Drosophila melanogaster: one gene and its partners. The protein of the gene in region 1 purifies or fractionates together with the protein of each later gene. This does not show direct contact. Each region holds a gene or a part of one and is shown in the gene's direction. Other genes may lie near its edges.

What was found.
Region 2: the proteins of TfIIS (region 1) and CG4854 purify together in Drosophila melanogaster (affinity purification with mass spectrometry, with the first as the bait; 2 studies listed by BioGRID). This does not show direct contact.
Region 3: the proteins of TfIIS (region 1) and CG17118 purify together in Drosophila melanogaster (affinity purification with mass spectrometry, with the first as the bait; 2 studies listed by BioGRID). This does not show direct contact.

What each region holds. Positions count from the first base shown.
Region 1 is NT_033779.5:15,058,392-15,062,489, reverse strand, and holds TfIIS (RNA polymerase II elongation factor), read left to right. Parts: upstream 1-1,732; 5' UTR 1,733-1,991; coding exon 1,992-2,057; intron 2,058-2,123; coding exon 2,124-2,999; 3' UTR 3,000-3,571; downstream 3,572-4,098. Other genes in the region: CG33679 (uncharacterized protein), read right to left, coding at 3,603-3,758, 3,822-4,098. UniProt on the Drosophila melanogaster protein: Necessary for efficient RNA polymerase II transcription elongation past template-encoded arresting sites.
Region 2 is NT_033777.3:20,026,249-20,030,071, forward strand, and holds CG4854 (uncharacterized protein), read left to right. Parts: upstream 1-1,809; 5' UTR 1,810-1,906; coding exon 1,907-2,032; intron 2,033-2,090; coding exon 2,091-2,590; intron 2,591-2,655; coding exon 2,656-2,790; intron 2,791-2,951; coding exon 2,952-3,150; 3' UTR 3,151-3,313; downstream 3,314-3,823. Other genes in the region: CG4424 (uncharacterized protein), read right to left, coding at 379-517, 583-693, 804-938, 999-1,501, 1,563-1,712; trem (trade embargo), read right to left, coding at 3,418-3,583, 3,643-3,753, 3,810-3,823.
Region 3 is NT_033779.5:10,728,297-10,731,856, forward strand, and holds CG17118 (uncharacterized protein), read left to right. Parts: upstream 1-1,958; 5' UTR 1,959-2,002; coding exon 2,003-2,086; intron 2,087-2,143; coding exon 2,144-2,335; intron 2,336-2,401; coding exon 2,402-2,971; 3' UTR 2,972-3,060; downstream 3,061-3,560. Other genes in the region: CG6431 (uncharacterized protein), read left to right, coding at 56-260, 317-380; CG6443 (uncharacterized protein), read left to right, coding at 944-1,012, 1,076-1,906; EMC3 (ER membrane protein complex subunit 3), read right to left, coding at 3,235-3,560.

The sequences.
Region 1 (4,098 bases):
CACGAAAGAAAGATACGATGCCAATAACCAGAAAATGGGACAATTTTTACTTTCAACTTATTTTCTTTTTAAAAAAATGAATCAACTTTACACGCAAAATCTTTTTTTTATATTAGACCTTTCAAGATCCTGTTAGAATAGAACGCAAAGAGGAAACCAAATTAGGAATTCATGTTCTAGGGTTGCCAAGCTCTCTAATTGCTACAGTCAAATAAGGAGAAAAATCCGTAATAAGTACAAAAAGGTGCTTCGACAACTCTGAAACATAACCGAAAATGAACGAATGAAGTCAAAAGGAGCTTAATAAAAGTAAGTATTCGAAAATTGTAAAACGAAAATGGGTGTAACAATATGAGAAAAATCCGTTAGAAGTACAAAAAGGGGCTTCGACAACGCTGAAACATAACCGAAAATGGAAGAATGAAGTCAAAATGAGCTTAAGTATTCGAAAATTGTAAAACGAAAATGGGTGTAACATTAATATTTAAATGGGATAGTTTTTACAATAGAAGAATTAAAAATGATAAGGGGAATAATATATGTAATACGTTTTCAAATGGTTTTAATTTTGCGGATTTAAAAATTGGAAAATGAAAAACTTGTCGAGTCAATTTAGACAAGTTTTAATGAGCTTATTTTTAATGTTGCAAAATTAAATCCGATTCAAAACTAATTGCATATCACTAAGATAGTCTCTTGCTACTTACCCTGCCTTTCAAGAGCAAATTAATTCTTTTTCACTTTATGTATTACCTTACAAACTTTGATAAGTTCAGATCACTTCGCGCAACGCAAAACCGAAAAGGATCTGTTAAAAGTACCAAAAATCTAGTGGTGGAATTTCCCATTGTGCTATCGCAATTCGATATTCACAATTTCGATAATTTATATATATAGCCGTTTTCCACTAACACATCAAATGTGATTTAGCTATTAATGAAATTGTAATATTCAAGCAACCTAAGTGATTCATTCATATGTACATACTTATATGTAAAGATGGTGGTGGCATTTTTAACATGGGGAAGTTCTTATTTATTTACTTTTTCGTTTGTTATAGGTGAATTCCTCTTTATTTTTATACAATATAATTTTATTTTACGTTAAGCAACCAATTTAAGGGCTATGAAACGTAGTAACTAACAGGAGCAACGAAGATAACATGGAAACATACAAAATTTGTATAAAAATATTGATTAGATAATAGTTTGGCTTGTTTATGCCACGTGTCCAAAGATATCTTTGATGACGCCTCCTCAGTGTTCTCCTGGTTGTCTGGTATGTGCCTGATTTAATTTGTTCTCAAACTGAAGGTGGATGCTGAGGTCATGTGCGATATCAACATTTCTCGCGTACCAGGGCGCGTTGGTGATTGTTCGCAACGCTTGGTTTTGGAGCCGTTGCCCTCTCACTATGTCCCACCGCCGATTTGACCCGCAGACGTATCCCGCTTGTCCCCAACAACCGCACTTCATCATAATACATCATCTCTAGACCACACTCAAACGATTTATTTATTAAAACTAAGTGATATATAGGGAATTGTTATTGAAGGTAATTAGTATAATTCAAAAACGCCCAACACGCTGTTCTTTCATTGAAATACAGTGGAGCCCTGCTTGCAAGCAGTGCAAGTTTAAAAAACATCGCAATGCTATGTGTGTGTACTCGCTTAAAAGCCAGATGTACATTAAAATACGGTAACACTGTTGACTTCTGAAACCCAAACTACTTCCAGTTGGGAATTGTATTAGCCATGGGAAGGCATTTCTTGACAAGCCACCGCCCGGTAACACTAAAACGCGTTAGGGTGTTCTGTCAACTCGTTCTGCGAATACAGAAACGAAAAAAATAGTAAACAACATTTATTGGAGGGAAAAAAAGAAATAGCCCGGCTTCCGCATAAACAACTGTCGCAGACCCGCAGCACCGATTAAAGCCGACAGCCGACGCCAGTTAACCTAACCTCTGATCAAATTAAGTGGGCCAAAATGAGCGTGGAGGAGGAAGTGTTTCGAATCCAAAAGAAGATGAGCAAGATGGCCAGCGACGGCACAGTAAGTATCGGGATTAGCTAACGTGCCGCGCATCATGTCACAAATATACATATATCCACCGTACAGGGACAGGATCAGGCTCTGGACCTGCTGAAGGCCCTGCAAACGCTTAACATCAATCTCGACATTCTGACCAAAACGCGCATCGGCATGACCGTAAACGAGCTGCGCAAGAGTAGCAAGGACGACGAGGTGATCGCTCTGGCCAAGACGCTGATCAAGAACTGGAAACGATTCCTCGCCAGCCCGGCGCCAACCACACCGAACAACAGCTCCGCTAAGGAGGGCTCCTCCAACAACAGCAGTGCCTCGAAGTCCACCAGTGCCGCCAAGTCGTCGTCGTCAATCTCCGGCAAGGATAAGTCCAGTTCATCCAGCTCATCCAAGGATAAAGAGAAGAAAGGCTCGACATCCTCGTCACAGACCTCGTTTCCCTCCGGCGGCATGACAGATGCGGTCCGCATCAAATGCCGCGAAATGCTGGCCACCGCACTGAAGATTGGTGAAGTGCCCGAAGGATGCGGTGAGCCGGAGGAAATGGCCGCCGAACTGGAGGATGCCATTTACTCCGAGTTCAATAACACGGATATGAAGTACAAGAATCGCATTAGGTCACGCGTGGCCAATCTGAAGGACCCCAAAAATCCTGGATTGCGAGGCAACTTTATGTGCGGCGCCGTCACTGCCAAGCAGCTGGCCAAAATGACGCCGGAGGAGATGGCCAGCGATGAGATGAAGAAGCTGCGCGAGAAGTTCGTCAAGGAGGCCATCAACGATGCCCAGCTGGCCACCGTGCAGGGCACCAAGACCGATCTCCTCAAGTGCGCCAAGTGCAAGAAGCGCAACTGCACCTACAACCAGCTGCAGACTCGTTCCGCCGATGAACCTATGACCACCTTCGTCATGTGCAACGAGTGCGGCAACCGATGGAAGTTCTGCTAACTCCCAAAATTGTTCCAAAATATAAATCAATCCCAAATGAGCACACACCACACATCCTTCATATTCTTAAATGAAACATTGTAAAGACACGACACGCGAGAAAACATTTTGTATCTGCTGCCCAACTGCGGAGGCGTTTACTCTGACCACCTAAACCTTAAACGAGAGAAAAGAAATTTCAATAAACATTAACTATTGATAAAACGGAGACGTCTTGTTGCCGCAATCAGTTTTTTAAAAACGCCGGTGATAACGACCACGCTGCTGATAACTCGCCGATAACACAGCGGGGCGATAAATTGAGCATTGAGCAAAGTAAATATGAATACATTATAAATATAACTCAGAATGATCTAGCAGAGAAGTAAATAAGACGCCATATTGTGTATGTATTCTCGAAGAGTATTAACAACCGATGTAATTAGTCAGTTTTAAAGCAATTTGCATTAACGAACTTTGTATTGCATTAAGTATAGAAGTCGGAACGGGCCAGATCGGACAACTATATCATATAGCGGGCATAGGAATAATTAAAACATTAACGCAAAATAAATATGTGTTCGTTGTGTTAGATCCATTAGGTGTTCTAATGTTTTGTTCATCTTAGTCAACGTCAATTTCAAAGTGGATGTTTATGATGGAAATCCAGTTCACGACACCATCATCCATTTCGAGGGTTAACTTATAGCTACCCTTTGGTAATGGGACCTTGGCAAACATACGATCATCCAAGGTGCAGTTCCTTATGTAAATATCATCCTTAAAATATATATTTTAATATGATTTAATATGATTGTCATATTGGCGAAACTAAATACTTACATTATAGGGACATGTATGATTAATATTGGAAAAGGGCATAAAGGCGGTGTAGAAATAGTAGAAGACTCTGAGACGATTTGGATACCTTAGGACGCGACAGTGTTCCTCGGAAACATTAAATAGAAACGGATGGTATCCGTTTAGCTTCCGGTAAGTGATGAATCTCACGACCATCCTATTTATTGGCAGTTTCAGAAGCTTAACGTGTATGTTGGCTCCGATAATTCCCCTGCCAAGCACTTTTAGTCGGCATTCGGGAAAGACGACGAATGATTTG
Region 2 (3,823 bases), on another chromosome or scaffold:
GTTATTTAATTTTGTTAACGGATACAACCGACCTCATAATCCTCCTACACTACAATTATCTCGAACACCAGCGCCAAGTCAGCACTTATCAATCACTTTTCGGCATTTCCCTCGTACAACACATAAAAGTTGTAAAATTTTGTAAAACAAAAATTAGAAAAGAACAAAACAAAGAAAAAAGATTGCGTACCGCTTTGCAAGTAAGTCAAGTAAAAGAATAAATTGTAAAAATGTAAACAGTTTGTTTTTTTTTTTAGAATGCTTTTTAGTTAGTTTCATGAAATCTTTCTAGCAAACTTTATATAACAAAGGTCGTATATACAAAGTTTTAGGCTTTAAGCAAAGGTAAAATGTCGCGATCTTATAAATATTATATTATTAAGCATTAGCTACAGTAATCCCCACTTTAAAGGTACTTAGATAGGCAGTCAGTCGTGGATCATTTATATGCTGTTGCGTTTGCAGATGCGCCACGAGATTGTGAATGCGAGCGAAGCTTTTGTTGCAGAGTTGGCATCTGAAGTAATAATAGCAACGTGATAAGTTTTAGGTTTGATTTAGTTTAAAACCGAAACCACTTACATGTGGGGTTTTTCGCCCGTGTGCGTCTTGTAGTGCATTTTAAGGACACTGGCATATGTGAACTTCTTTCCGCAGGTCTTGCAGGCATAAGGACGCTCATTTCGATGGGTTCTGTGGAGGAAATACAATTAATTAGCTAGTCTCTACTTGTAGTTAATTAATAGAGGTTCCAAAAGATACAGAAATGTTTTTACTGGAATAATTATGTATTCTTTGCTTACCTTTCATGCTTAACTAGGGAAGTGCGATCCGCGAAGTTGCGTTGGCAATATTGGCAGGTATATGGTTTAGCTCCCGTGTGCTGCCGGATGTGGCGCTTCAGCTGGTAGTTGACGTGGAAGCTCTTGTGGCAAATCCTAAAAAGAGCCACATGACTGAGACATTTATATACACAAAAAAGTGGTAAGTACACCTACTCGCACTCGTAAGGCCGCTCATCGTTATGCCTTCGCATGTGGGTGTCCAGCGTGCTCTTCCTGGGATATCCATTGCCACAGATAGCGCACACATGCAATTTACCCTTGACGGCACCAGCAGGAGCAGGTGGAGGAGTAGATGCAGGCGGAGGATAAGGAGCAGGAAGCATTTCCACCGTTAGAACTGTGGGCCTTTCCTTTTCCGCCGGGCCATGTGGCGTTTCTTCAATGGGATCTTCCGTAGACCAAACTCCCTCTTCAAGCACCTCATCCTCTGGTGGTTCAAGCTGCTCAGTCTCTATCGGTGGCGGAGTTGAAGGTCGCGTTTGCTGCACCACCTCCTTGACTACCCCTTGCTCGACTGCATCCTTTATCACGTATTCCCGGAGAAATTCATTGGAGCGCTGGCATATCTGTCGAAATTTGTGGGCCAGAGTTAGAAATGCCTTGCATCTGAGGCAGATTCTGGTGGGCAGCACTTCCTCCTTTGCCGTTGCCCTTATCTATGGATGAGATATTACTTGAAATTAATTAGAAATATCAAGGAAAACGAAAGGATCCCACCTGAATTCCACTCAAACTTTCGATTTTGTCACAGAGGGATACGCCACCGGGCAGCCTATCGTCCGCTGTCTGGAAAATAGACACCATGTGGGCTTCGCCATCCTGCAGGCAAGTCCTGCACAGGGTCATCATGTTCAATCGTATCTCCATTTGAACCAAACGAGTTGGCCGACAAAAATTAACGATCAAAATAACTCTGCTTCCTCTTCGCTGTTTGGCCAGTCACCGATATTTATCGAAGGGCCGATTGCCATTCGCCCCGGAGCCGCACAAATTTTAATTGTTTGGTCAGTAAACAAACAAAAATTAAATATTTCGGAATTTGTACCTACAATAACAGAAGAATGCATACCAACGTGGATAGCAGGGACCTTAAGTGTCGCATCTGCTTGGTGCAGCCTAAGGATGAGTCTCTCATGCCCACGGAGCCCGATTTTCCAGATAAAATCAAACGCTGCACAGGAGTTGAAGTGGGTTTTTGAATATCTATATTATGATCTATATTACCCATTAAAAACCTACCCACAGTTGAGTGAGAGTCCCGACTGGCCCAATCGCATCTGCACCAGCTGCGCCCTGCTGCTCAGAGCTGCCCTCAAACTCAGATCCCTTTGCCAGCAGACGGAGAAGGATCTGAAGGAGCAGAAGCTGCAGGAGATAAACATAGAGATTGTTCACGATGAGCAGGAGACGAAGAAGAAAACTGAATCAAGAGACCTGTCCAAGAATGAGGCTACCGGTAGCGACAGCGAGTTGGAGTACGAGTACCTAGACTCATACGATGTAACGCTGGAGAGCAGCGAGGATGTGGCCTGTAGTGCCGATGAATTGGTCAGCATAGAGCCTGCCATCTCCGCTCCAGAGGAATCTGTCTATTCACTTAGTCCCAAACCGGTAACTTTTGAAGACGAGGACTCCGGACAGGCTGCTTCCTTTACCTGCAACATTTGCAACAATGTCTACTCAGAGCGCGTAAAGTTGACCAACCACATGAAAGTCCACAGCGCGAAGAAACCACACGAATGCGAGTAAGATTTTGATTTGAATTTGTTCCCATCGTATCCTATAATCGCATAATCCCATTATCTTGTAGAATCTGTCACAAACGTTTTCGCCAGACTCCGCAGTTGGCGAGGCACATGAACACCCACACCGGTAATCGTCCCTACAAATGTGACTATTGCGACTCCAGGTTCGCCGATCCCTCCACTCGCATTAAGCATCAGAGGTAGGTAAAAACATATAGGGCTGTCATAACTAGAATAAAAGAGATATATTTCTGTTAATCAGCTTTAATGTCAATTAATTGTTAACAAGTCTTGATAAAAGTTACTTCAAATCTAAATCTTAAGACATCCACGGAAGTTTCTAACGTTAAATACACTTTAGGATCCACACCAACGAACGACCGTACAAATGCGAGTTCTGCAGCAGGTCCTTTGGCTACTCCAACGTCCTCCGGGTTCATCTGAAAACCCATACCGGTGAACGACCATTTAGCTGCCAGTACTGCCAGAAGTCCTTCTCCCAGCTGCACCACAAAAACAGCCACGAAAAGTCACACAAAAGGACGAAAGAGGTGAAATGATTGCAGTGACTAAGAGGAAACATTGAGGTGCAAATTAAATAAGTTTCTCGTTGAAAATTGTACAATATATTAATGGATAAGTTCTAAGCCATAGGGCACCGCCATTAAAATTTGTCATTTTTCCTTATTTAATTTTTTATAAGAAGTAAAAAACAAATTGTACAAAAAAATATATCCTGTGTACATTTATTTGCTTAATGGAAGAACTTAAACAACGGCTTACTAAATACTTAGACTAAACTTTGCATAAGAACTAAAAAGAACATGTCACTCTTTGGGGAGTTCATTGAGAAACTCCGGCGTTTCCCCCTTGACATCTTCTGCTTTGGTGCTCTCTTCTGCGTCATTTCTCCAGGTGATACGTCTATTATGCGTTTCCCGATGCAAACGCAATTTGTAGGCCTTCACAAATCCTTTGCCACAAAGATCACAGCTGAAAGAGAATAGCTATTATTGCAGGATAATGAAGTAGTAAAATATGTTGATGCTTACACATGCGGCTTCTCCCCCGTGTGAATCATCTTGTGGAACTTCAGGTTGTCCGAGTAGGTAAACGTTCTGGAGCAAACGTCGCACACGTAGGGACGCTCCTTAGTGTGAATTCTGGAGAGAAATAATGTCAGTTTAATTTACTTTCAACTGTTTCGAATATTTCTCACCTATGATGTTTGGT
Region 3 (3,560 bases), 4.3 Mb from region 1:
CCTCTTTCTCGGAAAAAGAAATCATATATAAATAAATGTGCTCTCTATCAAACAGGAAAATCGCGATGTTCGCACTTCTTGAGCATCTGCTACTTGGCCACTGCCACATTTAAACACAATAAGTTCATGGGAGTACCGTGTCCCAATGGCTGCCTGAATCTTAGTGGATCCAAGAGGCTGCCAGTGAGCGGCAAAGTGAATCCCTTCGAGTTCGCCTCGCTGATAAGGGAGTACCACATAGGCAACGATGCCCCCGATGAGTAAGTTTATTAAAAACCATATATATAATTTATAACCAATTTCATATTTGATTTAGCGCCCGAGGCTGCATTTGCATTGATGTGCCGTATGCCAAGCACTGCCCCTTTACGGATGCGTAGGAGCTGGTCTTCAGTAGTTTGTAATTCTATGATAAAGCTGTCGATAATAAATTCAAGTAATATTATTTTTTTGGTCTTTGGGTATTTTAGTAAATATGAAGGAAAAATGAGAAATAATTACTTACCTTCTACTACACGTAGTAGGAGTTTATTATTAAAATGTTGCAAATTCCAAATTTAGTTTTCGAAAATTTAAAAATCAAATTCGATATACTAAGAGTTTGGTTCACCGTAATATACCAAAATTTATATCGAATATATGATATCGATGTTTGCAATCGTCATTGCAGTCGCTACAGCTGTTTGGTGTTTTACCATCTCTATGGACATTGTGTATATAAAACATTTGTTATTGCTCATAACAGAATTTCTCCATTTACTACAACCTGAAGATATATAGTTATTTATATCGTTAGTTTATTTAAAGTAAGTAAGATACTTATACCGTGTAAAATGTAAAACAATTGAAAAATATCATAACCCATTGTAAATCGCATATTATAGTTTGCCCAACAAGGAATTCCCAGGAAATATATTGTAATTCTTGAGATAAATATATAATCATGGGTTGCGATGGAGGAACTATTCCCAGGCGCGATGAGCTGGTGCGCGTGAAGCAAAAGCCAGAGCAGGTAAGTCTATTCGATTGGAGCACCTCCTAGCCAGACCGAAATATCATTTCTCGAACCCTACAGAAAGACAAAGATGCGGAGAGGGAGTTCCGTTGGCGCCACTGCACCTTGACCCAGCAAAGCCTCCAGGAGCCGATCGCCATGTGCGGCATGGGTAGGCTCTATTCCAAGCAGAGCGTCATTGAGCGACTGCTGGAGAAGGAACCGATGCCAGAGACAGCTGCGCACGTGAAGAGCATGAAGGACATTCGCCAGCTTAATCCCACACCCAATCCCGCCTTCACCGAGGAGGACAAAACTGAGGGACTGCTGGACACACGACATTCTCCTTACATCTGCAAGCTGATTGGCCTGGAGATGTCCGGCAAATTTCGCTTTGTGGCCCTTTGGAGCTGCGGATGCGTTTTATCAGAGCGTGCCTTGAAACAGATCAAAGGCAGTGTGGCTAGCACTTGTCCGCTGTGCCAGGCTGCCTATAGCGTTGAGGACGTGGTGGTCCTCAATGGCAACGAGGAGGACATGGAGCTCATGCGGGTCAAGATGGAAATGCGTGCGGCCAAGCGTAAGTCCTCCAAAAAGGACAAGAAGAGTGCCAAAAAGGTGGAGGTGAAAGCGGAGCCCGCAGAGGAACAGGAGCCAGTGGCGTCCACATCCAAGGCTGCAGCCGCAGAGAAGCCCACTACAAGCACAAAAACCAAGGCGGTGGCGCCGGTCAAACGACTGGGCGCCGTTAATGCAATGCAGGATCCCGAACTGAAGCGTCTCAAGAGCGACTTCAGCGTGGCCAAGGACCCGAAGGCCAGCGATGTTTACAAGTCCCTTTTCACCTCCCATAAAACCGAAAAGGACCAGGAGCGCGCCCACTGGGTCACCTATAATCCATTCTACAATTAGTCTAGATTTCGTTTAAGTTTGCTGTGTTAACTCAGTCACATGTCCATAGTTTGATCGTTGAAACCACACACACAGTTTCAAAATATACAACCGACAATGTATCGTGCAGCCTATCAAAAAGGTTTCCTTACCGTGCTTTACAGCGTAGGCAGTTCGCCCCTGAACAACTGGTCTTCCTATGTGAGTATCTGGCATTCAATGCAGCTGCCTCGTCTCTAGAAAGCATCCTTGTAACAGACCAAAAACGGGTATATCAAACGGATCTACGATGAGGACATCAAGTCCCTGGTGCTCGAGATAATGGGCTCAAATGTGTCCACCACATTCATACACTGCCCCAGCGAATGCAAGGAGCAGCTGGGCATCAAGTTGCCCTTCCTGGTGCTCCTTATAAAGAACATGCACAAGTACTTTTGCTTCGAAGTTAAGGTAAGGCCAAGTGCTATGAATTTATAGTAAACTCTGGACTGCACAATGATGACAATATATCCTTAGATTCAAGACGATCAGCGCTTCATGCGCCGTTTCCGAGTGTCCAATTTCCAGAGCAAGACCTCCGTGAAGCCCTTCTGCACGGCGATGCCGATGGGCATGTCACCGGGGTGGAACCAGATCCAGTTTAACCTGGCCGACTTCACGCGCCGTGCTTACGGCTCCAACTATCTGGAGACGGTATCCTTGCAGCTGCATGCCAACGTACGCATCCGGCGCATCTACTTCGCAGATAAGCTATACACAGAGGCTGAATTGCCCAATGACTACCGTCTGATGGGCAAGCCGAAGGATCTGAAGAAGCCGGAGAAGCAGTTCAAGGTGCAGGCCACTGCGCGTCCTCCGTCGCCTTTGAACACGGGTCGCGGTGAACCCGGACCCTCCAAAGACACGGACGCAGAGGCAACAGGTCCCGCCACGGATCCGATGAGTGAGCCGGAGCCCGCGCTGCAGAAGTCTCCGTCGCCGCCTGTTCCGCAGAAGGTTCCGTCGCCAGCAGCTTCCGCTCCTCCAGAGCCGGCCACCGAGGAGCCAGCTCCACAAACGGAGGCCACCGAAGAGGCCTACTATTAAGTTACGTTGCACAGTTGCTTGTTTTTATCGTTCTGTTGACACGCGACTGGGAGTGGCACATAGTTTAAATTTCCAGTCATAGCAATCATAATCGAAAGTGTTTCTTTAATACAAAACTTGGGAATGGGCATTACATTTGGATTTCCATGCAGAACGGATTGGTTTCCCATTGTAGTCACACAACTTGCTTTATTTTAACCCTCTCTGACTCGAAACAAAATCTACTTTGTTACATTGTGAATTTGCTAAAATACATAACTTAATTAGGATGATGCCGCGGGTGCACTGGCGATAGCCAGCATGTCAGCGTCAATGTTCTTGAGTGCGTTGTGGTACTCGGTTATCTCGAGCGCCTCCCACTCGGCCTTGAAGGCGGCCTTTGGATCCTGGGGCATAGTCATGGCGGCGCCCGTCATGGCATCCGCCTGTGCCTGCGTCTGATCGGCATGATTGTTCTCGCCAAGAACCAGTGTGTAGATGGAGCGCAGGCCGAACACGTTGAGGAAGTACCAAGAGGCTGAGGAGACCCAGGCGGCGTCCAGCGAGGCCAGCTCCACGCCCCGCTGGAGCATGGGCTTAAAGCGCAGGG